4 linked regions of the Saccharomyces cerevisiae S288C genome follow. The gene in region 1 interacts genetically with each later gene. Each region holds a gene or a part of one and is shown in the gene's direction. Other genes may lie near its edges. The genes, in order: STE24, HAC1, UBC7 and CNE1.

Region 1 (6,436 bases):
TCCGCTTCCCCAGCATCCAGCGACTCTTCTCCTCTCACTAATAACATCCGGCCCATTAGCATTATGTGATTAGCATGCATTTTCCCCTTTTCCTTTCTTAAGAACATTTTTACGACGCGGATCTGCCCGTCATCGCATACGAATGTTGAATCACGCCAGAATCACCAAAGAAAAAAACTCGTTCAGTTCCTAGGTTTTATGAGCCAGGAACAATAGACTTTTATCGCATATTATTTCTATACGTGCACTTATATATGCACACATATGTTTATATACATATACATACATACGTGTTTCTTTTCAGCCTGTGTTTTTGTCGGGTCCAAAAACATACAAGGCAACATAATATTTTGACATAACTCAACGCAACATAACAGTATAAAACATAGTTTAATAAAAGAGAAAAAAAAAACAATATTTTTAAGCTATCGCTCTTGCCGCAATGAACGCCAACTCTACCACGACAGCAATCGGCCTCACCAGCCCCTTCGAAAAGCTGTCCTTCTTCCCTCATTCGTCTAATTTAATACTGGCTCATTTGCATGAGATCATCTTCAGCTTCGTCTTCTACCAGCTCGCATTCTCCGTTGTCGCACCGTTCTTGAATAAAGTGGTCTTTCGCAAGCACTACACCACGATCCGTGACCCACTGCTGAAAATTGATTTCAATGTCCACACCGTCTCGATGATCCAGGCTGTCGTCTCGAACACCGTCCTGTTGCCCACCCTCACGACGCCAATGCATTATAATGTTGTCACCTACACAGATTCGTACAGTTCAATGGTATCTTCCCTCAGCGCAGGGTACTTTATCTGGGACTTGACTATGTGCGTGCGTTACTTCAAGCTTTATGGTCTCGAGTTCACGGGCCACGCCATTGGCTCCGTATATGTGATGCTGTTGTCCTTAAGACCGTTCTGCCAACCCTGGATCGGCAGGTTCCTTATCTACGAGGCCTCCACTCCCTTTGTGAACATCAATTGGTTCATCATGCAATGTAACGCCAAGAGCAAGAACTCTATCCCTCTGTGGTTTAATGTCGTCAATGGCCTTTTGCTCATGACTGTGTTTTTCGTCGTCAGGATTTGCTGGGGCTCCATCGCATCCGCTCTCTTATTCAGGCAGATGTGGAAGGTAAGAGACGAGTTACCCAAGTTTTCTGCTGTCACGATGATGTCGCTGAACATTTTCATGAACCTTTTGAACGTGCTTTGGTTCAAGAAGATGATTAGAATCGCCAAGAAACTTGCAAAACCAGCCCCAACGTCGAAGCTAGACTAAACCTACCTTTTTTTCTATCTTCAACAACGAAACGCCTTACACACACACACACATACATCTACATACATACATACAAATATACATATATGTAAACTTGTATATTCATTCCTATTAACCAAAAAGAGGCAATTAAACTTTTCCCTCTTTTTCTACGTCATTTACTCAAAAACTCTAATTCCTTCGTCTCTGTTCTGCCATTTTCTCCAGAAAAAAATCGACGGGAAATAAAAAAAAAAAGACAACGAACAAGAGAAAAAGTTCGCGAATTATAAACCACTTCTATAATTAACAGGAAAAGGAAGGAAAAAAAAGGAGGAAATAGAAAACTGCAGGCCTTTATTCATGTTTGATCTTAAGACGATTCTCGACCATCCTAATATCCCGTGGAAATTAATCATTTCTGGGTTCTCGATTGCCCAATTTTCTTTCGAATCTTACTTGACGTACAGACAGTACCAGAAGCTATCTGAAACAAAGTTGCCACCTGTGCTGGAAGACGAAATTGATGATGAAACTTTTCATAAATCAAGGAACTACTCCCGGGCCAAGGCCAAGTTCTCCATTTTCGGTGACGTCTATAACCTAGCCCAAAAGCTAGTTTTCATCAAATACGACCTCTTCCCTAAAATCTGGCACATGGCCGTTTCTTTATTGAATGCAGTCCTGCCAGTCAGATTTCATATGGTCTCCACTGTCGCACAGAGTTTATGCTTCTTGGGTCTCTTATCCAGTTTGTCTACCTTGGTTGATTTGCCACTCTCTTACTATAGCCATTTTGTCCTGGAAGAAAAATTTGGTTTCAATAAATTGACCGTCCAACTATGGATCACCGATATGATCAAGAGTCTGACTTTGGCGTATGCTATTGGTGGCCCAATCCTTTACCTGTTCCTTAAGATCTTTGATAAATTCCCTACTGATTTCCTTTGGTACATTATGGTCTTCTTGTTCGTTGTCCAAATCTTAGCCATGACAATCATTCCAGTCTTCATCATGCCCATGTTTAATAAGTTCACTCCATTGGAGGACGGTGAACTGAAAAAATCTATTGAAAGTTTGGCCGATAGAGTTGGGTTCCCTCTAGATAAGATTTTTGTCATTGACGGCTCAAAAAGATCTTCTCATTCAAACGCATATTTCACAGGTTTGCCATTCACCTCCAAGAGAATTGTTTTGTTCGACACTTTAGTGAACAGTAATTCTACTGATGAAATTACGGCTGTTTTGGCCCATGAAATCGGTCACTGGCAAAAAAACCACATCGTTAATATGGTCATCTTTAGTCAATTGCACACCTTCCTCATTTTCTCCCTTTTCACCAGCATCTACAGAAATACATCATTTTACAACACCTTCGGCTTTTTCTTAGAGAAGTCCACTGGCAGTTTTGTTGATCCCGTTATCACTAAGGAATTCCCCATTATCATTGGATTTATGTTATTTAACGACTTATTAACTCCACTCGAATGTGCCATGCAATTCGTGATGAGTTTAATTTCCAGAACTCATGAATATCAAGCTGATGCTTATGCTAAAAAATTGGGCTACAAGCAAAATCTATGTAGGGCTCTAATTGATCTACAAATCAAAAACCTTTCCACCATGAATGTAGATCCTCTGTATTCTAGCTATCATTATTCCCATCCAACTCTAGCTGAAAGATTGACCGCTCTAGACTATGTTAGTGAAAAGAAGAAAAACTAATCTATAGAGTACACATATTAGCATGTACCGTTAAATTCAGCTTCGTTATGTCTATATCTACATACATACACAGGTATCTACTATAAGAATAAAGGAAAGAAAAAATAAACGATTAAACATTTTATTTTTTTGCATCGCTATCATCATTACCTTTCTCATTGTTATCATCATTATCTTTCCCATCTTCATCGTCATTTTCTTCATCATTGATTATTTCAATGATTTCTGTGGTTTCAGTCTTCACGGTAAATGGTTGGGGTTCTTCAATATCCTCATCATTAACCATGAATTGGTTCAATCTTTTGAACTCTTCATTTTTCTCCTCCCTAATGGCATTATACAAAAGAAAATTTATCCAAACTTCTGCAAAACAGTAAATAAAAACAGAGTTATTGTGAACGTAAAAGTTTGACTCCCAAAGGTACGAGATACTTGTCAAAATAAAAAAAATTAGTAATCTAACTGGCACAACAGATTGGAAGTATTTAACATTGTTTTCTAACAGGGGAATTAGATCATGAACACCGTTAAGAGTAAACAGAAGAGCGAAAAGACCCAATTGACCACTATAACGTGACAGTGTTAACTGCGGTAAATTCATCGCTTGCGTTAAGACTATGAAATATGTATTTTGCAAAATAGAATTAACGTTCTTTAAACAAAAGAAGGCGATCGTGAATAAAAATGCTACTCTGAAAAAAGCAATATTGGTGGAGTTCAAGGCTTGAGCCATTTTCTTAGAATTTATTCTTTACTTTTGCTGAATGCGATACTCTATTATGTTGTAAATTGTTACACTACCATTCAATTGTCTCTCTTTAAAGATTGATCGACATTATTTTCTTTACTTTTTTGGTGTTTTCGCGCTAAAAGTGGCGTGCTAAATGCCAAGTATTATTCTAAAAAATCATTACGCCATACACAAATATTGAAGACTATCTATCTAACTTAACACCAACTTGCTTTATTAAAGAGTCAATATCCTTCAAAGACTTAGTGAAATACAATTCATCGTCAATATAAGGTTCTTCACCGTCGCTATTGTTCAAGTTTTGTATTGATTTTAAGTAATCCTGCGTACACAGGATACTCACTTTACTGTCCGTCGTGGATAGTTCATTCCACTGCCTAATACTTAAATGGTTTTTCTTGTGTCTTTTATACGTTCTAATTGAATCATAGTTATTCTTTCGCAATACAAAGGCTATTGAACATATAGTCTTACATTGGGAACAAAATATATCGTATTCCTCATCTTCATCGTTTGGATCAGTATGCACCTCCAAAAGAGTTGTCCGTGGTACAATGGCCTGAATTTTCCGTATGCGTTTTAATTCAGTATTATAAAAGACGATCAATGAAGAGTAACATTGCCTAACAAAAGCATCATTGAACAATAGAGTATCTTTATTGTACTTGTCCAAAACATTGATCATTAAATCAAACATATCAAAAACACATGCTTTCTGAGTTAATTTATAATCCGTAATCGCACCAAATCCATATGGTAGCCAGAAATCTATAGTAAAATTGACAGCTTCATTAAAATTATAACCTGTATTAAAACCAGCATGGTAACATTTAGGAAACGTGATAATATATTCGTTGGGCTTTTGCACAGCTTTGTACACAGGAATACCTGATTTCTTGAAATTTGGATCGTACGGAGATATTAAAGTCACTAGCTGATGCAGTAGGTCTGGTTGTTTGATAAATAAGTCTGGTGACATATCATTTAATAGATCGTTGAATTTCGTACATCCCGATTCGGGAATGCTGTACCAGACCTTAGGGTCACCTTCATGTTGATAGTTAGCACTTAGGGTATACTGATCTTCCATATGCCAACAAAATGTGGAAAATAAGGAGCCTATGTAAATCCAAGGAATAGTCATGCCAGAAATATTTCTTTTAAATAACGGTAATAGCGAATTATGAGCCATAGGCAAGTTAGTTAAATTCATAGGATGATCGCAATATTTGAGGTAGTCTATCAATTCGTCCCCATTTATATTTTTGGGTATAAATTCTCTCGTCGGAAAGCCGGTAATTTGACCTGGCAATTCGTTATGTATGTCAGCACCGTATTTAACTGTCGTTAATGAACTGCGACGATTCTTGGTCACTAAGCTCCAAAACATCTCTTCCAACTCATCTATAGACAGTTTTCGTGCTGGTAATAACCTTGAATTTTGACGTTTACAATATTCTTGAAACTCTGGTAGAGAATAGTCATGCGTGTCCTGAGTGAATCCGTAATATCCGTTTCCGACGATACAAGTGTTACAAATCCAATCGCCAGAGGGAACACGTTCCAAAGGTGGTGATAAACAATATATATGGAATGGTTTGTCACATGAATCACATAAAATTGTTCTTTTTGGATCATTTGTCTTGCGACAAACAATACAAGCATCATCATCGTCCTCCTCAAAATCCGACCCAGAATTCGAATCTGGCCCAAGATCGAAATCGTCCTCGTCATCACTTAATAAGGATTTTGGATACTGGTCAGCATGCAGCGCCGTGTGCACGTTCTCGTTCAGTGAATGAAGAAATATGTAGTATGAGGCAATATATTTCTCAAAAATTTCCTTTAACAAGCCGATTGGTACGTTGAATTTTTTAGAAATGGTCCTCCATAGACTGATGTCGCCTCTTAATTGGGAAATATCTCTAAATTTCAATTTTCGCCTGAATGACTGTGTAGTGTCAGTAAGTGTCCGATTGTCTTTTATTAGTTCAGAGAAAACGTCATAAAAGTACACTTTTTTTTTTAGTATTTCCGATGCATGAGTAGAATCTGAATATTCTACAATCGTATAAGGTTCCCTAAGTATAAGTTTCGATGGATCCTTAACGGATCTTTTAAAATTATTTAACTGTTTCATAAAAAATAGCCTACACCTATTTTTCAGGTCTAGGTTCTCCAGATTTTGAATTCTTGGTTGAAAAGTAAAATTTTCCATATCAATAGAAAGTGGCGGGCAGAACCCGTTTGGTGGTACGACCTTGACCATACCATATCGTACACCAAGCCTTTTAATGTGGGGGTTAGAGAGATAATCGATCGGATTTTTGAATTCTTGTTCCGTTGGATACAGGGCAGGAATTTCCTCCATGATAGTGATACGTTTTTTGTGCAAGATGAGATTAGTTAATATGATCTAGAGGTAAAATTGACTAAGTAGTCAGATCTTATTCTACATTGAGCCTGCGTTGTCAACATGCACATCTCTGTCTCTTGGGATGATAATTTTTCAATGATGATTCCAGGGTTACTTTAACGTTACACAAAAGAAATTAATTAGTGCGGCTGTTTCTGTGAGCGGGGCAGTAAGTCCGAAGCCCTTGATATTAGCCCATACCCTACACATTTTACTCGTTTGCCCTACATCAGATAAAATACTGGCCCTAAGCCCTCCTAATCTCTTCTGGTTACACCTAGGG
Region 2 (8,432 bases), on another chromosome or scaffold:
TGGCGTCCTGACACAGCTCTCTTAAGGAGTCTAAAACTTGGTTAAGGAAGTTGTTGGAACGTACCTGTATCTGACTGCCCTTATACTCTGAATCTTTCGTGAAGTTTGCCAAGATCGCCTGTTGCTCAAGAAGATTATCGTGTAGTAATTGTATGAGCGATTCCGTTCTATGCTCGCAAACGCAACTTTGCGAATGGGTCTCCAACCACCAAACAGGGACAAAGTTCTCACAGACCCGGCATAGTTCCATTTTTGGCAGAGGTAGATTGAACTCGTCTATTATCATTTCCAGTCGTATTCTCTTCAAGTACTGCACGAAGATCTTAGCGCCGAACCCAAGCGTCTTGGCGAACTCTTCGGGAAGTTGGATATCGATATCGTCGCAATTATCGGATAACTGGATGACCATGTCGTCTTGAGCGTCTTCGTTGGCATAAAAGTCTGACCAGTCGTTTGTGCGAGGCTTGACTATCCACATCGTGTGAGAGGGCAACTGTGTGTGGCCATCCCTGATTAAGATACCACGTGCTTCCAAGGTCGTTATCGTACTTTCATCGTCACAGCCTGCGCTACCTTCATAGTCGGCTGCCTTTATCTTGAACGTTATAGTGCAACTGGTGTCATCATTCATGAGCAGCATGTCTGTGGCCTTTTGAAAGACACCTTTATCTTGATCGGATCCGAGAATAAGGTCTGCAATGTACGTCGGAGAAGAGCCACTATCATCGGCGACTCCTGTGATCGTGTTCCACTGTGGAGAGCCATATCGCACCTTGCCGTCCAGTTCCAGCTCCAAGATCATACACGGATTCTTCTCTGTGGCCAGCTGCAGATATTTTTCATAATTGGAGGAAGTCAATGAGCTTGGGTTCGAATTCGATGATATCGGGGAGAGCTTGTTTATGCCAAGTCCCTCTTTCATAGCCTGAGATCCGCCTGCGGTGTTACTTCTATTGAACATCTGTCTTCCTCTACTGGGCTTATCTATTCTATCAAATGAGGCAAGAGAAAGGAAAGGGAAAAAAAAAAAGGGAAAATGCTTGATGAGTTAGGAATTCAGTAAAAGCACCCACCAGAACCTCTACAGCAGGCCTTCCAGGAGTGGTTAAGAGGATAGAGAATTCTGTATATATATATACGTCTATATCTATACAAAAAACGGCAGACAATGCAGAAGTTGAAAATGCTGTGATACGAACAACAACTTATTTTTACAATGAAAAACAACACCAAGCTGCCAAAAGCTGTATATTAAAGTTAAAGCTCCCTCATTTTTAGTAAGGACGCTTTCTTTTCCCACAAAAGGGACGAGGAAAAAAAGAAAAACCTGGAAATATAGTCACGTGACATGAATAAACAAGACCTAGGGCAATATGGAAAAAGAAGCTAGGATAAAAATACATTTATGAGGGTTGTAAGGCAAAGTGGCTCAGCATTAAGTAGGGCTAAAAAGAGTCGCAAATATACATCGTACCGAGTGATGAACGTGGTTTTGAACACCTTGTTCTCTTTTGTTCTCGCTCCCTACATTCACTATATATTAGAAGAAATTTCACCTCAATGGACAACTCGAGAAATGAATACAGAAATATGTTTTTTAGCGAAATTTTCCTTTCTTCTTGTCTTCTTGTTTTATTTAAACTTCCAAGGCTTTAACTCAGTGTCAAACATAACAACCTCCTCCTCCCCCACCTACGACAACAACCGCCACTATGGAAATGACTGATTTTGAACTAACTAGTAATTCGCAATCGAACTTGGCTATCCCTACCAACTTCAAGTCGACTCTGCCTCCAAGGAAAAGAGCCAAGACAAAAGAGGAAAAGGAACAGCGAAGGATCGAGCGTATTTTGAGAAACAGAAGAGCTGCTCACCAGAGCAGAGAGAAAAAAAGACTACATCTGCAGTATCTCGAGAGAAAATGTTCTCTTTTGGAAAATTTACTGAACAGCGTCAACCTTGAAAAACTGGCTGACCACGAAGACGCGTTGACTTGCAGCCACGACGCTTTTGTTGCTTCTCTTGACGAGTACAGGGATTTCCAGAGCACGAGGGGCGCTTCACTGGACACCAGGGCCAGTTCGCACTCGTCGTCTGATACGTTCACACCTTCACCTCTGAACTGTACAATGGAGCCTGCGACTTTGTCGCCCAAGAGTATGCGCGATTCCGCGTCGGACCAAGAGACTTCATGGGAGCTGCAGATGTTTAAGACGGAAAATGTACCAGAGTCGACGACGCTACCTGCCGTAGACAACAACAATTTGTTTGATGCGGTGGCCTCGCCGTTGGCAGACCCACTCTGCGACGATATAGCGGGAAACAGTCTACCCTTTGACAATTCAATTGATCTTGACAATTGGCGTAATCCAGCCGTGATTACGATGACCAGGAAACTACAGTGAACAAGAACACTAGCCCCAGCTTTTGCTTTCTGCTTTTTTTCTTTTTTTTTTTTTTTAGTCGTGGTTCTCTGATGGGGGAGGAGCCGGTTAAAGTACCTTCAAAAGCAGAATGCAGGGTTATTGGAAGCTTTCTTTTTTTCTTTTATGCTAGTTTTTCCTGAACAAATAGAGCCATTCTTTTCTTATTACTAAGAAATGGACGGCTTGCTTGTACTGTCCGAAGCGCAGTCAGGTTTGAATTCATTTGAATTGAATGATTTCTTCATCACTTCATGAAGACAATCGCAAGAGGGTATAATTTTTTTTTTCTCGTTATTATCGCTGTTGGTGGGTTTTTTCTTTTCATATATTTCTTTTTCGCTTAGTGGTTTCTACTGTTCTGTCTCCGGTTAGTGTGTGCTACTTCAACCGAAGAAGAAGAGGCTTTTCAAGAATGCAAACGTGAGGTTGGCGCGCCCTCCTACAATTATTTGTGGCGACTGGGCAGCGACACTGAACATAGCTCTTGAACAAGACCCTTTTTTGGCTGCAAGGAGCAAGACTGGCTGGGGTTCCACCTCAAAGAGCCACGCTCTGCTTTTTTTCTATCTGTTTGTGTCATATCTATCTGTCTATTTATCTATATATATATTTTTTTATATAAAACTATAAAGAATTCTTGATGTATGCCCTTAGGTTGGGCAGCTTTTCAACCTTAGACTTGATGCTAACGCCGCTCTGTTCCTTCTCCCGTGCTCCCGCAAGCGAACATCTCCCCCTAACTCCGGGCCAATGAGTGATAACTATATCAAATACCTTCGAAAGGACCTTAGTCATCATATCACTCTCACTCTCACGGCTCTCTGTAGTCCTCCTCGAGGAGTGGCCAAGAATGTTCTGTTCCGCAGTCTTTATATAATCGCACTGGTTGAAGACGAAAGCTCATATAATTCTTTTTCCATAGCCTAAATACACCAACGATGACTAAATCTGTAGATACGCTGCTGATCCCAGGCCCCATTATCCTAAGCGGAGCAGTCCAGAAGGCCCTGGACGTTCCCTCTTTGGGCCACACCTCTCCTGAGTTCGTCTCTATTTTTCAAAGGGTGCTAAAGAACACAAGAGCTGTCTTCAAATCCGCTGCTGCCTCGAAGTCTCAGCCTTTTGTGCTTGCCGGCTCTGGTACGTTGGGGTGGGACATATTTGCCTCGAACTTTATTCTTTCGAAGGCCCCCAACAAGAACGTGCTGGTCGTATCCACTGGGACATTTTCTGACAGGTTTGCTGACTGTCTGCGTAGCTACGGTGCGCAAGTAGATGTTGTTAGGCCCCTCAAGATAGGCGAATCAGTTCCCTTAGAACTGATTACTGAAAAGTTGTCGCAAAATAGCTATGGGGCTGTCACGGTTACGCACGTTGACACTTCAACGGCAGTGCTGTCCGATCTGAAAGCCATTTCGCAAGCGATTAAGCAGACTTCGCCGGAAACGTTCTTCGTAGTCGATGCTGTATGCTCGATTGGATGCGAAGAGTTTGAATTTGATGAATGGGGGGTGGATTTCGCCTTGACTGCTTCGCAAAAGGCTATTGGCGCTCCAGCGGGTCTTTCTATCTCGCTATGCAGTAGCAGATTCATGGATTATGCACTCAACGACAGCAAAAATGGTCATGTACATGGGTATTTTTCCTCGTTGAGAAGATGGACACCAATAATGGAAAATTATGAGGCTGGTAAAGGAGCTTATTTTGCAACCCCACCCGTACAACTAATTAATAGCCTTGATGTAGCCTTGAAAGAAATTCTCGAAGAGGGGTTGCATAAGAGATGGGATTTGCACCGTGAAATGAGTGATTGGTTTAAAGACAGTTTGGTTAATGGCTTGCAATTGACATCCGTCAGTAGGTATCCTTCTAACATGTCTGCGCACGGGTTGACAGCCGTATACGTAGCAGATCCTCCTGATGTCATTGCTTTTTTAAAGTCACACGGTGTAGTCATTGCCGGAGGTATTCACAAGGACATCGGACCCAAGTATATCCGTATTGGACATATGGGTGTGACCGCTTGCAACAAGAATTTACCGTACATGAAGAACTGCTTCGACTTAATAAAACTAGCTCTTCAGAGGAAAAAGTGATTACCCTCGTACTTTTCATTTCATATATATATATATATATATATATGTACCTATATATTCTTCTTATTATGGCTTTTCTAATTCTTGCAAGATTCTTTGACAGCTCCATCTTTCGTTTGGTGAAAATGAAACCATCCCCAGGATACAATTAATGAACTTCTGCTTGACTTTGACATCCGCAATCTCGTCCAGTCGAGGCATATTCCTCTCAACAATGCTAATCTGTACATCTTTCTCCTGGTCCAGTACATACTTGCCATCGCCATCTGCACCAAACATACCAACAAATGCATCAACCGAGCCGTGTTGCGCAACCTCTTCCCATTTCTGAATGGACGGTATGCCCAACTTTTCGAATATTGAGCAAATCAGTCTGAAATCGCTTCCATCTGAGTTCATGTCGTCGCTGCCGTCATCAATCATGGCCGGAACGTGCCCCATACGGCTTGTTTCTCTCTGGAACCACTGAGAAATAATTATCAACAACGACCACACGTCCACGCCACCATCATAGCATTTTACTCCAAAAAGCACTTCTGGGGCCTTGTAAATTCCTGTGCTTATATCCGTCACCTTGCTATCCATGGGTTCCGCACTTGTTTGTGAGTTATTTGCCATGTCATAAGAGATGCCAAAATCAATTATGTACAACTTTGGGGATACGGTGCTGGTATTGTTTGTTAGCATGATATTTTGCGGTTTGATGTCGCGGTGAATGATCTTGTTCTCATGTAAGAATGCAATCCCTTCAACCATTTGCCGGAAAAAGGACAAAGAATACCGATTGACGTCCAATTGATTAGTATATTTCTGAACGGGGGGGTCCGCAACAATTGGGATACTGGGATTTAGCAAATCGTAATAGGGATTTTTTTTTCTTCTATCTCTTTTATAGTGCATTTGCATGAACTCATAAAGGTTCATCTCTTCAAAGGGAAACAACAACAATAGGTCATTATTATCGGTAGCCTTAGACTCTAGAAGAGGTAAGATGTGCTTACATTTGTTGCCCAGTTTGTTTAATATCGATACTTCGAATTTGGCGTTATGTGGCGGGATATCGAAATCTAGTGCTAGACATTTAATGGCATATGTATCCGACCTATAAATCCTAGCAGTTCTAGTAGATTTGACCAACTGACAGTGTGTAATGTCTATACTATCCAGTTTCATTAAGATGGGCGTGAATTTTGTTGCCTCTCTTCTTCATCTGGCCTCTTTGCTTCTATGAGACTTCTGTCGTTTTCCTTTTTTTAGGATCACAAACTACTTCTATAACTTAAATAGTCAAATCACATTTTCCACTAAGATACATATTTTCTATACAGGGGGTCTTTGCAGTTATATATACTCAGTTATATACCAATCTCTTTGTCAGGAATTTGATTATCACGTTTCAACCATTCTAGTGCTAATGGATGCAAACTATTCACTTTACTAATAACAACCTTATTGTTGTCATTTTCAAAGGCCACTTGTCCATTAACTTTAGCATTGACCACTTCAGAGAACTCTACGTCTTTCTGATAATCTAAATTATCCACAATCTTACCTGATTTCATATGGTATACTTGGTTAGGCCATTTGGCCAAGCCGTCAAAAATATGTGTAGCGTAGACCACTGAGCATCTTCTGGTTTCGGTCTCCCACTTTAAAAACTCCAGAAGTCTTGCTCTGGCAATAACATCGAGATCCACAGTGACCTCATCAAGTAGTAAAACTCTCCAAGGTTTCAAGAGCCCCATGGCTAACTGAACTCTTCTCTTTTGTCCATCACTTAACCTGTGCATTCTCCAACGTACATCGATGTCCAGGATTCTAACCAATCTTTCACCTCTTTCCCTAAAATGATCGAATCCAATACTTTTTAATAGTTCCAAGACGCCGATATCCCTATTAATGATACTCATATGGCACCATTCCGTACCTAGATAAGTGGTCGTTTGGTAGTTCGTCGAATCTTCAACACTTTCATCATCGTCCACTTGATTCATAGATAATGGACTGAATGGATCAAGACCATTGACCAGGATTTTTCCATCAAGGCAAAGATGCTTACCGCTTAGTAATTTCAAAAGGGTGGATTTACCAGCACCATTGGCACCCACAACTAAAGATCTTGTATTCCATGGGATTTGAAGATTGATATCAACAACTGACGGATCGGAGCTTTCTTTGAATTTGTACGTTAGGTTACGCACCTCAATAGCAAATTGGGAAACCATCTTGAGAGTTATCTAATATCTTGATATCTTATGCAGGAGTACTGGTTTTCTCCATACTAAAAATCTCTCTTTCAGAATTTTCGTTTTTTCTTATTTGAGTCATCCTCGAAGAAATTTCCGCAGCGAATTTTAAAGAAGCACTTTATAATAATACCTTACATATGAGTTTGTTTCTATGTCATGGGTATATAAGGTATATTGTATGCTATCTAGTTGGATGCCCCAGTTTCAAAATGTCCCTAATCGGATCCACCCAGATGTGACTAACGTGGTGCAAATTTATATTTATATGTGATAAGTCTTTCAACTTTGTGGAGATCATGTAACGTAGATTGAGTACTAAACTCAACGACCTTGTAGTCCGTAATTGGTACAGGATAGCTACAATCCCGATAAGTAAAGAAATTTTGCTCCACCTGTTATATTTGGAGGGTAAAAAATGGCCAAGTCTTTGGACCAACGCCCTTGTCTTGGATCTGGCGGCGACACCATGATACTTTTCTTCCTTGTAATGCTCGTTCATCTTTGTTTGTTCGCTCAAATAGAAGATAATGGTGCTCATATCGAAGCATCCTGGCTTTCCACATGCTGTATTGAGTAATGCACTATATTTATTAAGACTCACCCGTTTCAAAGCCTTCTTGCTGGCAGTAGTCGCATCTTTTCTAGTTATTTGCAAGACTTCTTCCCAAAGCGCCTCATCATACAGTTTTTTCTGTAAAACTGTTTGTATAGCACCATGGCGCAGGTCAAAATCGTTCTCGAAGAAATCAGAATTAGCTTCTATTTGCTTCGAAATTTCAGACGCATTTTGCAATAGCAGGTTCTTGTATATGATCAAAGGTAAACGCATAGATTGCATCGATATTGTCATGTCAAATATCTGGAAAAGAATTTTATGAAGATTGTTGTCACCGCTATCTATAGGTTTCAAATTATGTGCAAAGATTGTCAATATTGACCCAATAGCGAAAAGGGGCTCATTTTCGTCAAATTTGAATAGATTATAGAATTTCATGTTTGATTCCTTTATCAATGAAGAGATTACTCTCAATTGCTCAAATGAAAAATCTAGTGAGTTCATCATGAAATCCCTCAGATATAATAGGGTAAATGCTTCGATGCAATAAAACAGCCTTTCCATATCAATTTCTTCTTGCAATGAGAGATTTTCTAGTTCCAGTCCGTTCTCTTTTGTGACATTCCAACTAAAACACATGATGAAAACAGACACAATATCATGATAACCTTGGTAATAGTTCAACGTTGGGTACTTTCTCAATACCCGAGTAATTAACTCCACCAGTAGTTTTCTCAATTGCAGTTTCAAGTTTTTGTCGACAATTCCACCAAAAGACCTTTCTGCATCCAATATCACCTGACCTTCATCTTTATGTTTTTCCACTGGTGTAATGTACTCTGTTGCATCATCAATAAGCAACTGGGACGCCAATAATTCATACCAACAATCTTTTCTTAATGAGTTGTTTACAAACCCCAGAGGCCCTAAACCTATGTACCTCAAAGCTCGGACATCTTTTTTCTCTAATAACTTTGATATAACTTTTCCTTTTTGTTCTTCTGCCTTTCCACTGTCACAACGAGAAAGTGATTCCAGATATGCGTTATAACCTCCCCTTGTCAACGCGTCTTTGTCGTGGCTACTCTGATTAGTATGAAATAAT
Region 3 (2,984 bases), on another chromosome or scaffold:
TGGACACGCGATCCTTACTCACGCGGTGCTTATTCGGCCTGTTTTCCAGGAGATGATCCAGTTGATATGGTTGTTGCAATGTCTAATGGTCAAGACTCCCGCATAAGATTTGCAGGCGAACATACTATCATGGACGGCGCCGGCTGTGCCTATGGTGCTTGGGAAAGCGGAAGACGGGAGGCGACTCGAATCTCTGACTTACTGAAATAGAATCTATTTTTTCGAAATTACTTACACTTTTGACGGCTAGAAAAGGATATACATACATATTAAAATTTTTAGTAACACTCTGTGCTTTTTCAAAAATTTGAGGTACACCTAATTCTCCCACTTGTTGCTTATACCAAGTTTGAACAATTTTAATGTTAAGCACAATAGATTGGAATATTATCATATGGTGGTTCAGAGAGTAGTAGGGTGCATTTTCATTCCTGTTGCCTCAATGTGTTTTCTATCTGTATTTACGTGATTTTATGAAGTGGTGGCATCGCTTAGATGTGGTGCATAATTAGAGACTAATTTTTGAAACCACGCATGAATGTCAAGTAATTCTAACTGAGCATCTGTCATCAATGGCACTTGCAACTTCAAAAAATCCCACCAATATTTTGACGGCACCAATTTACCTTTGAATTTTATTTGAGTTTTCCTTGTTAATCTTGCATTCAGAATTCCATAGAAAAAGAATTTTTCAAATGGAATTATATTTGTAGAGTGAGAAAAACATCCATCACAAGTGCAGTTATCCGGAGGACATATGCATTCCTTGTCAGTGCATTTACAATCATCCAAATAATCCATCATCTTATCAGTAATTTGAGCTTCACCAATATTGGTTAAAGGAACACCACTTTGTTGAATATAAGAATTCAGTTCCTCTTCGCTTCTATGGATTAGACAATTAACACATGGGCAGCTTTCATCTTCACAAGAGCACTGCGTGCTTAAAAAAATGCCCTTATGAGTCAGGACTTCAACTTTCGAAGCAACGTCGCTTGAATGAGGAGCAGCAATCGTTGTTGTACTTTGTGGGGTGAGTGTTTCTGAACTGTCATGCGCACCAGGAACAGAACTATTGTAGTTTTCTTGTAAAATATCGTTAAAAGCGGACGTAGATTCCAAGGAGCCGTATGGCGTAAATATGTCATCAGACGGTGCCTTGTTCGTCTTGCCATTAGAAGCTGGGTTCTGTGATTTATCTTTCTTACAGCAGTTTGAAAAATGTCGTATAGGCTCCTGTTGAAGCCGGCTTCGCTCTTTCTTCTCACTTGAAGAAGATGACTTGGTAGAGTCCGGAGATATTGTTCCTGTTGCCGGAGCTTTGGGAGAGTGTTTCCTAAGAAACTCCGTTTCGGTGATATATTTGTTACCATCATCGGTAAATGTGCTAATATCTTTAGGCTCATGAGCAGTGAAACCTTCCTCCATTAATATATGCAATTTTCCGTTTATCATTCTTGCCTTTCTAACAGCAGAGGCACGTACAAACAGTATTGGCTGTTGATTCATTGCGCTGCAGCAGTCACCTTCAATTTGTGCACCATTTTCGTATTCTGTACTTTGCGATGTAGAGTCTACTAAAATAGCGTCTCTGATAGCCATGGGTGAAGGTCTTCCTCTAGTTCTCACCTTAATTAGCATTCGGTGAGAATGCCTGCATGTTGAAGAGCGATGCCCTCTGATGCACGATGCACACGCATATTTGTTCCCATTAAATATTATCATCTCTGATAGAGCTTGAAGAACTTACCAGACTGTTTCAAGTTTAAAACAAGGCGCCTCATCGCATCTACCTCACGAAGATGCAGCAGCTTATTGTCTCGAGATCCTTCTTATAACTCCTTTTCGCCATTACCCGAAAACGAGATTACAGCCTCTAAACCAAGAGCTCGAAAAGCGCCAAAGTAAACTCTGGCGTTTAGCGTACGAAGGAGATTATCCTAAAAGGAACTTCCCTAGTAATAGTGTAATTTGGAAGGGCATAGCATGTCGAAAACCGCTCAGAAACGTCTCCTCAAGGAGCTTCAACAGTTAATTAAAGATTCTCCACCTGGTATAGTGGCTGGTCCCAAATCGGAGAATAACATATTCATTTGGGACTGCCTAATTCAAGGGCCTCCAGATACGCCATACGCTGATGGTGTTTTTAATGCTAAGCTAGAGTTTCCTAAAGACTATCCGTTATCTCCACCTAAACTTACTTTCACACCCAGCATACTACATCCAAATATTTATCCAAATGGGGAAGTGTGCATATCCATTCTACACTCCCCTGGTGATGATCCTAACATGTACGAATTAGCGGAAGAAAGATGGTCGCCAGTGCAAAGTGTAGAAAAAATTCTATTAAGTGTTATGAGCATGTTGAGTGAGCCCAATATCGAAAGTGGTGCCAACATTGATGCTTGCATCTTGTGGAGAGATAATAGACCTGAATTTGAGAGACAGGTAAAGTTATCCATTTTGAAATCATTAGGATTCTGAAAGCAGGTAGCAGGTTAATGATCATTTGGTCTTCCTTTTAACTGTTCTCTATATACATAAATAAGCATATCTACCATCTAAAAGAAAGCAAATGTCACATAATAAATATGTTAAAATCTCAATGTCTTCCTGGCTTTTCAGGAATTCAAACCATTTCCATTTCGTTGGTGTATAATCAGGGGCCCCTCTACTCTCACCTCTCTGTACCGAAGCGTTAATCAATTTTCTTTTATTTATATACACGATGATTGTAACTAGGTTATTTTCCTATACAAAATTTGCTGAACACTGAATCTAAGATTTCCTCAATACCAATAGCTTGTCCTGTTATCTTAGCTATTCCATCGGATGCATACCTCAAATTTTCTGTGGCCAATACTATATCATTATGGAAATCTTTGGATTTGAAAAACTCTTCCAAGCCGTACAGTACGTCGTTTTTGAGAATCTCTGACACTCTTTTGGAAACAATGACAGGACTTGCATCGGCACTTGATTGA
Region 4 (3,711 bases), on another chromosome or scaffold:
TGTGTACCATTTTGGTACTTAAGGGAATGGGGGCTAGTAAAATTGTAGTGTCTGAAATTGCAGAGAGAAGAATAGAAATGGCCAAGAAACTGGGCGTTGAGGTGTTCAATCCCTCCAAGCACGGTCATAAATCTATAGAGATACTACGTGGTTTGACCAAGAGCCATGATGGGTTTGATTACAGTTATGATTGTTCTGGTATTCAAGTTACTTTCGAAACCTCTTTGAAGGCATTAACATTCAAGGGGACAGCCACCAACATTGCAGTTTGGGGTCCAAAACCTGTCCCATTCCAACCAATGGATGTGACTCTCCAAGAGAAAGTTATGACTGGTTCGATCGGCTATGTTGTCGAAGACTTCGAAGAAGTTGTTCGTGCCATCCACAACGGAGACATCGCCATGGAAGATTGTAAGCAACTAATCACTGGTAAGCAAAGGATTGAGGACGGTTGGGAAAAGGGATTCCAAGAGTTGATGGATCACAAGGAATCCAACGTTAAGATTCTATTGACGCCTAACAATCACGGTGAAATGAAGTAATGACAAAATAATATTTGGGGCCCCTCGCGGCTCATTTGTAGTATCTAAGATTATGTATTTTCTTTTATAATATTTGTTGTTATGAAACAGACAGAAGTAAGTTTCTGCGACTATATTATTTTTTTTTTTCTTCTTTTTTTTTCCTTTATTCAACTTGGCGATGAGCTGAAAATTTTTTTGGTTAAGGACCCTTTAGAAGTATTGAATGTGGGAACAAAGACGACAAAAGGTAGTTTTTTCCTTGACTATACTGGTAAGATATCGTCTAAAACAAAGCATGGCCAAGAAAATATCAAAGAATTCAAGAGCTGCTAGACAATCGGATGCTCTTGAACCAGAGGTAAAGGATTTAAGTGAACTACCTAGAGCTGAAAAAACCGATTTGACTAATATTTTGATTAGAACAGCAGCCAAGAATGAGGCATTGCTGGAAGCAAAGATATCTAAGAAAGCCAATAAAAGTAAGAGGGGCAAGAAGTTAAATAAAAAGGCTCTGGAAGACAAACTGGCCAACTCTATTTCATCCATGGACAGGGATCGTTTAGTGAAGGCCTTGAATTTTACCAATCGTCTGGACGGTAAAATTGCCAAGTCCATTTCTCGTGCCAAGTACATTCAAAATACAAGAAAGGCTGGCTGGGATAGCACCAATGAGACTATAAAAAAAGAGCTGGCTTTTTTGAACGGAGGGTTGTCTGTGCAGGCAAAAAGTGCTAGTGAAGGTAATGCTGAAAAGGAAGATGAGGAGATCCCAGAAGTTTTTGACTCTTTAGCAGAGGATAACACAGTGCAGAAGACTCCTACAAATAGATTCGGTGTCCTGCCAGACGATGTTGAAGAATAGAAAATTTTCATATGAAAGGTCCTAGGAATACACGATTCTTGTACGCATTCTTCTTTTTTCTATCTTCTTTCATTCTTTGTACATTAGATAACATGGTTTTAGCTTAGTTTTATTTTATTTTTTATATATCTGGATGTATACTATTATTGAAAAACTTCATTAATAGTTACAACTTTTTCAATATCAAGTTGATTAAGAAAAAGAAAATTATTATGGGTTAGCTGAAAACCGTGTGATGCATGTCGTTTAAGGATTGTGTAAAAAAGTGAACGGCAACGCATTTCTAATATAGATAACGGCCACACAAAGTAGTACTATGAAATTTTCTGCGTATTTATGGTGGCTGTTTTTGAATCTAGCGTTGGTGAAAGGCACTTCATTGCTATCCAACGTTACATTAGCGGAAGATTCTTTCTGGGAGCATTTTCAGGCTTACACTAATACAAAGCATTTAAACCAAGAGTGGATCACAAGTGAAGCCGTCAACAATGAAGGCTCTAAAATATATGGTGCACAATGGCGACTATCACAGGGTCGATTGCAAGGATCCGCATGGGATAAAGGAATCGCAGTTCGAACAGGCAATGCCGCAGCTATGATAGGACATCTCTTGGAGACACCTATTAATGTTTCAGAAACGGATACCTTGGTTGTCCAGTACGAAATTAAGTTGGACAATTCTTTGACGTGCGGCGGTGCGTTTATTAAGTTAATGTCTGGTTTCATGAATGTTGAAGCATTAAAACACTATGCACCCGATACAGAGGGTGTCGAGTTAGTTTTTGGTCCGGATTATTGTGCTCCTGAAATAAATGGCGTGCAATTTGCCATCAATAAGGTTGACAAGATCACACATGAATCTAAACTAAGATATTTGCAAGAGATGCCCCTGTCAAAATTAACTGATACCTCGCAATCTCATCTGTATACGCTCATAATAGATGAATCAGCGCAGTCTTTTCAAATTCTTATAGACGGTAAGACGGTTATGGTAAGAGAACATATCGAAGACAAGAAAAAGGTCAATTTTGAGCCACCCATTACACCGCCTTTAATGATTCCTGATGTTTCAGTAGCGAAACCGCATGATTGGGATGATCGCATCCGAATCCCAGATCCTGAGGCGGTGAAGCTCAGTGATCGGGATGAACGAGACCCATTGATGATTCCACATCCAGATGGCACTGAACCACCAGAATGGAACAGCTCCATCCCCGAATACATTCTTGACCCAAATGCTCAAAAGCCCTCGTGGTGGAAGGAACTTGAGCACGGGGAATGGATACCGCCCATGATTAAAAATCCTCTTTGCACTGCAGAACGTGGTTGTGGCCAGCAGATACCAGGGCTGATAAATAATGCCAAGTACAAAGGTCCAGGCGAACTCAATGAAATCATAAATCCCAATTACATGGGGGAATGGCATCCACCGGAAATTGAAAACCCGCTATACTACGAAGAGCAGCACCCATTGCGCATCGAAAACGTTATCAGTGGTGTGATCCTCGAGTTTTGGAGTGGATCTCCAAACATGTTGATAAGCAACATTTATGTTGGTAAAAATGTAACAGAGGCGCAAATTATTGGGAATAAGACTTGGCTGATGAGAGACCGCGCGTTTAGAGGCTCCGATGGCCCCACAGAACGCAAATTCATGAATAGCAGACTAGGAAATCTACAAACAACTTTCCATAACGAAAGAGAATCCCCTAATCCATTTGACCGCATTATAGATCGCATATTAGAGCAACCTCTGAAATTTGTGCTTACTGCGGCCGTCGTGCTCTTGACGACGTCGGTTCTTTGTTGTGTAGTATTTACATAGTGGACAAGTGTTAGTTTATAACATGGTCTCAATAATTGCACCACAACGGCTTCTCTTTTATAGATGGTTAACATTATAGTATCAATATTATCATCATGATTAAATGATGATGTATAATACTTACCCGATGTTAAATCTTATTTTTTCATGCAGTAAGTAATCATGCAACAAGAAAAACCCGTAATTAAGCGAACATAGAACAACTAGCATCCCCGATAAGACGGAATAGAATAGTAAAGATTGTGATTCATTGGCAGGTCCATTGTCGCATTACTAAATCATAGGCATGGAAATTTCCAGTTCACCATGGAACGACGGTGGATACAGCCCCTATGAGAGAAACAGAGTCGCTGTATCACCATTTTCATCAGCGTTGGAAGGCGAAGAACGAATAGAAACCTCTCGATCTTTGGGTGATCATTGCTTTGAACCTTTGCCATACGTGACGAATTATCTTTCTATTTTCGCGCTTTTTGGTAAAGAGATATTTGGTGACAAGG

What was found.
Region 2: mutations in STE24 (region 1) and HAC1 together harm fitness more than expected from each alone (negative genetic interaction), as found in Saccharomyces cerevisiae (6 studies listed by BioGRID, with this or other methods).
Region 3: mutations in STE24 (region 1) and UBC7 together harm fitness more than expected from each alone (negative genetic interaction), as found in Saccharomyces cerevisiae (5 studies listed by BioGRID, with this or other methods).
Region 4: mutations in STE24 (region 1) and CNE1 together harm fitness more than expected from each alone (negative genetic interaction), as found in Saccharomyces cerevisiae (5 studies listed by BioGRID).

What each region holds. Positions count from the first base shown.
Region 1 is NC_001142.9:640,383-646,818, forward strand, and holds STE24 (zinc metalloprotease), read left to right. Parts: upstream 1-1,624; coding exon 1,625-2,986; downstream 2,987-6,436. Other genes in the region: YJR115W (uncharacterized protein), read left to right, coding at 1-69; TDA4 (Tda4p), read left to right, coding at 443-1,282; ILM1 (Ilm1p), read right to left, coding at 3,108-3,719; JHD2 (histone demethylase), read right to left, coding at 3,922-6,108. UniProt on the Saccharomyces cerevisiae protein: Proteolytically removes the C-terminal three residues of farnesylated A-factor mating pheromone. Also acts to cleave the N-terminal extension of the pheromone. Does not act on Ras.
Region 2 is NC_001138.5:73,467-81,898, forward strand, and holds HAC1 (transcription factor HAC1), read left to right. Parts: upstream 1-1,712; coding exon 1,713-2,373; intron 2,374-2,625; coding exon 2,626-2,681; downstream 2,682-8,432. Other genes in the region: protein kinase RIM15, read right to left, coding at 1-961; AGX1 (alanine--glyoxylate transaminase), read left to right, coding at 3,365-4,522; cyclin-dependent protein kinase-activating kinase CAK1, read right to left, coding at 4,589-5,695; putative ATP-binding cassette family ATPase CAF16, read right to left, coding at 5,878-6,747; GTPase-activating protein GYP8, read right to left, coding at 6,953-8,432. UniProt on the Saccharomyces cerevisiae protein: Transcriptional activator involved in the unfolded protein response (UPR) pathway. Recognizes and binds to the UPR element (UPRE) in the promoter of UPR-regulated genes such as KAR2, PDI1, EUG1 and FKB2.
Region 3 is NC_001145.3:316,694-319,677, forward strand, and holds UBC7 (E2 ubiquitin-conjugating protein UBC7), read left to right. Parts: upstream 1-1,986; coding exon 1,987-2,484; downstream 2,485-2,984. Other genes in the region: FMS1 (polyamine oxidase), read left to right, coding at 1-210; MAC1 (Mac1p), read right to left, coding at 472-1,725; MSS1 (Mss1p), read right to left, coding at 2,744-2,984.
Region 4 is NC_001133.9:35,762-39,472, forward strand, and holds CNE1 (calnexin), read left to right. Parts: upstream 1-1,702; coding exon 1,703-3,211; downstream 3,212-3,711. Other genes in the region: BDH1 ((R,R)-butanediol dehydrogenase), read left to right, coding at 1-542; ECM1 (Ecm1p), read left to right, coding at 748-1,386; GPB2 (Gpb2p), read left to right, coding at 3,498-3,711. UniProt on the Saccharomyces cerevisiae protein: Interacts with newly synthesized monoglucosylated glycoproteins in the endoplasmic reticulum. It may act in assisting protein assembly and/or in the retention within the ER of unassembled protein subunits.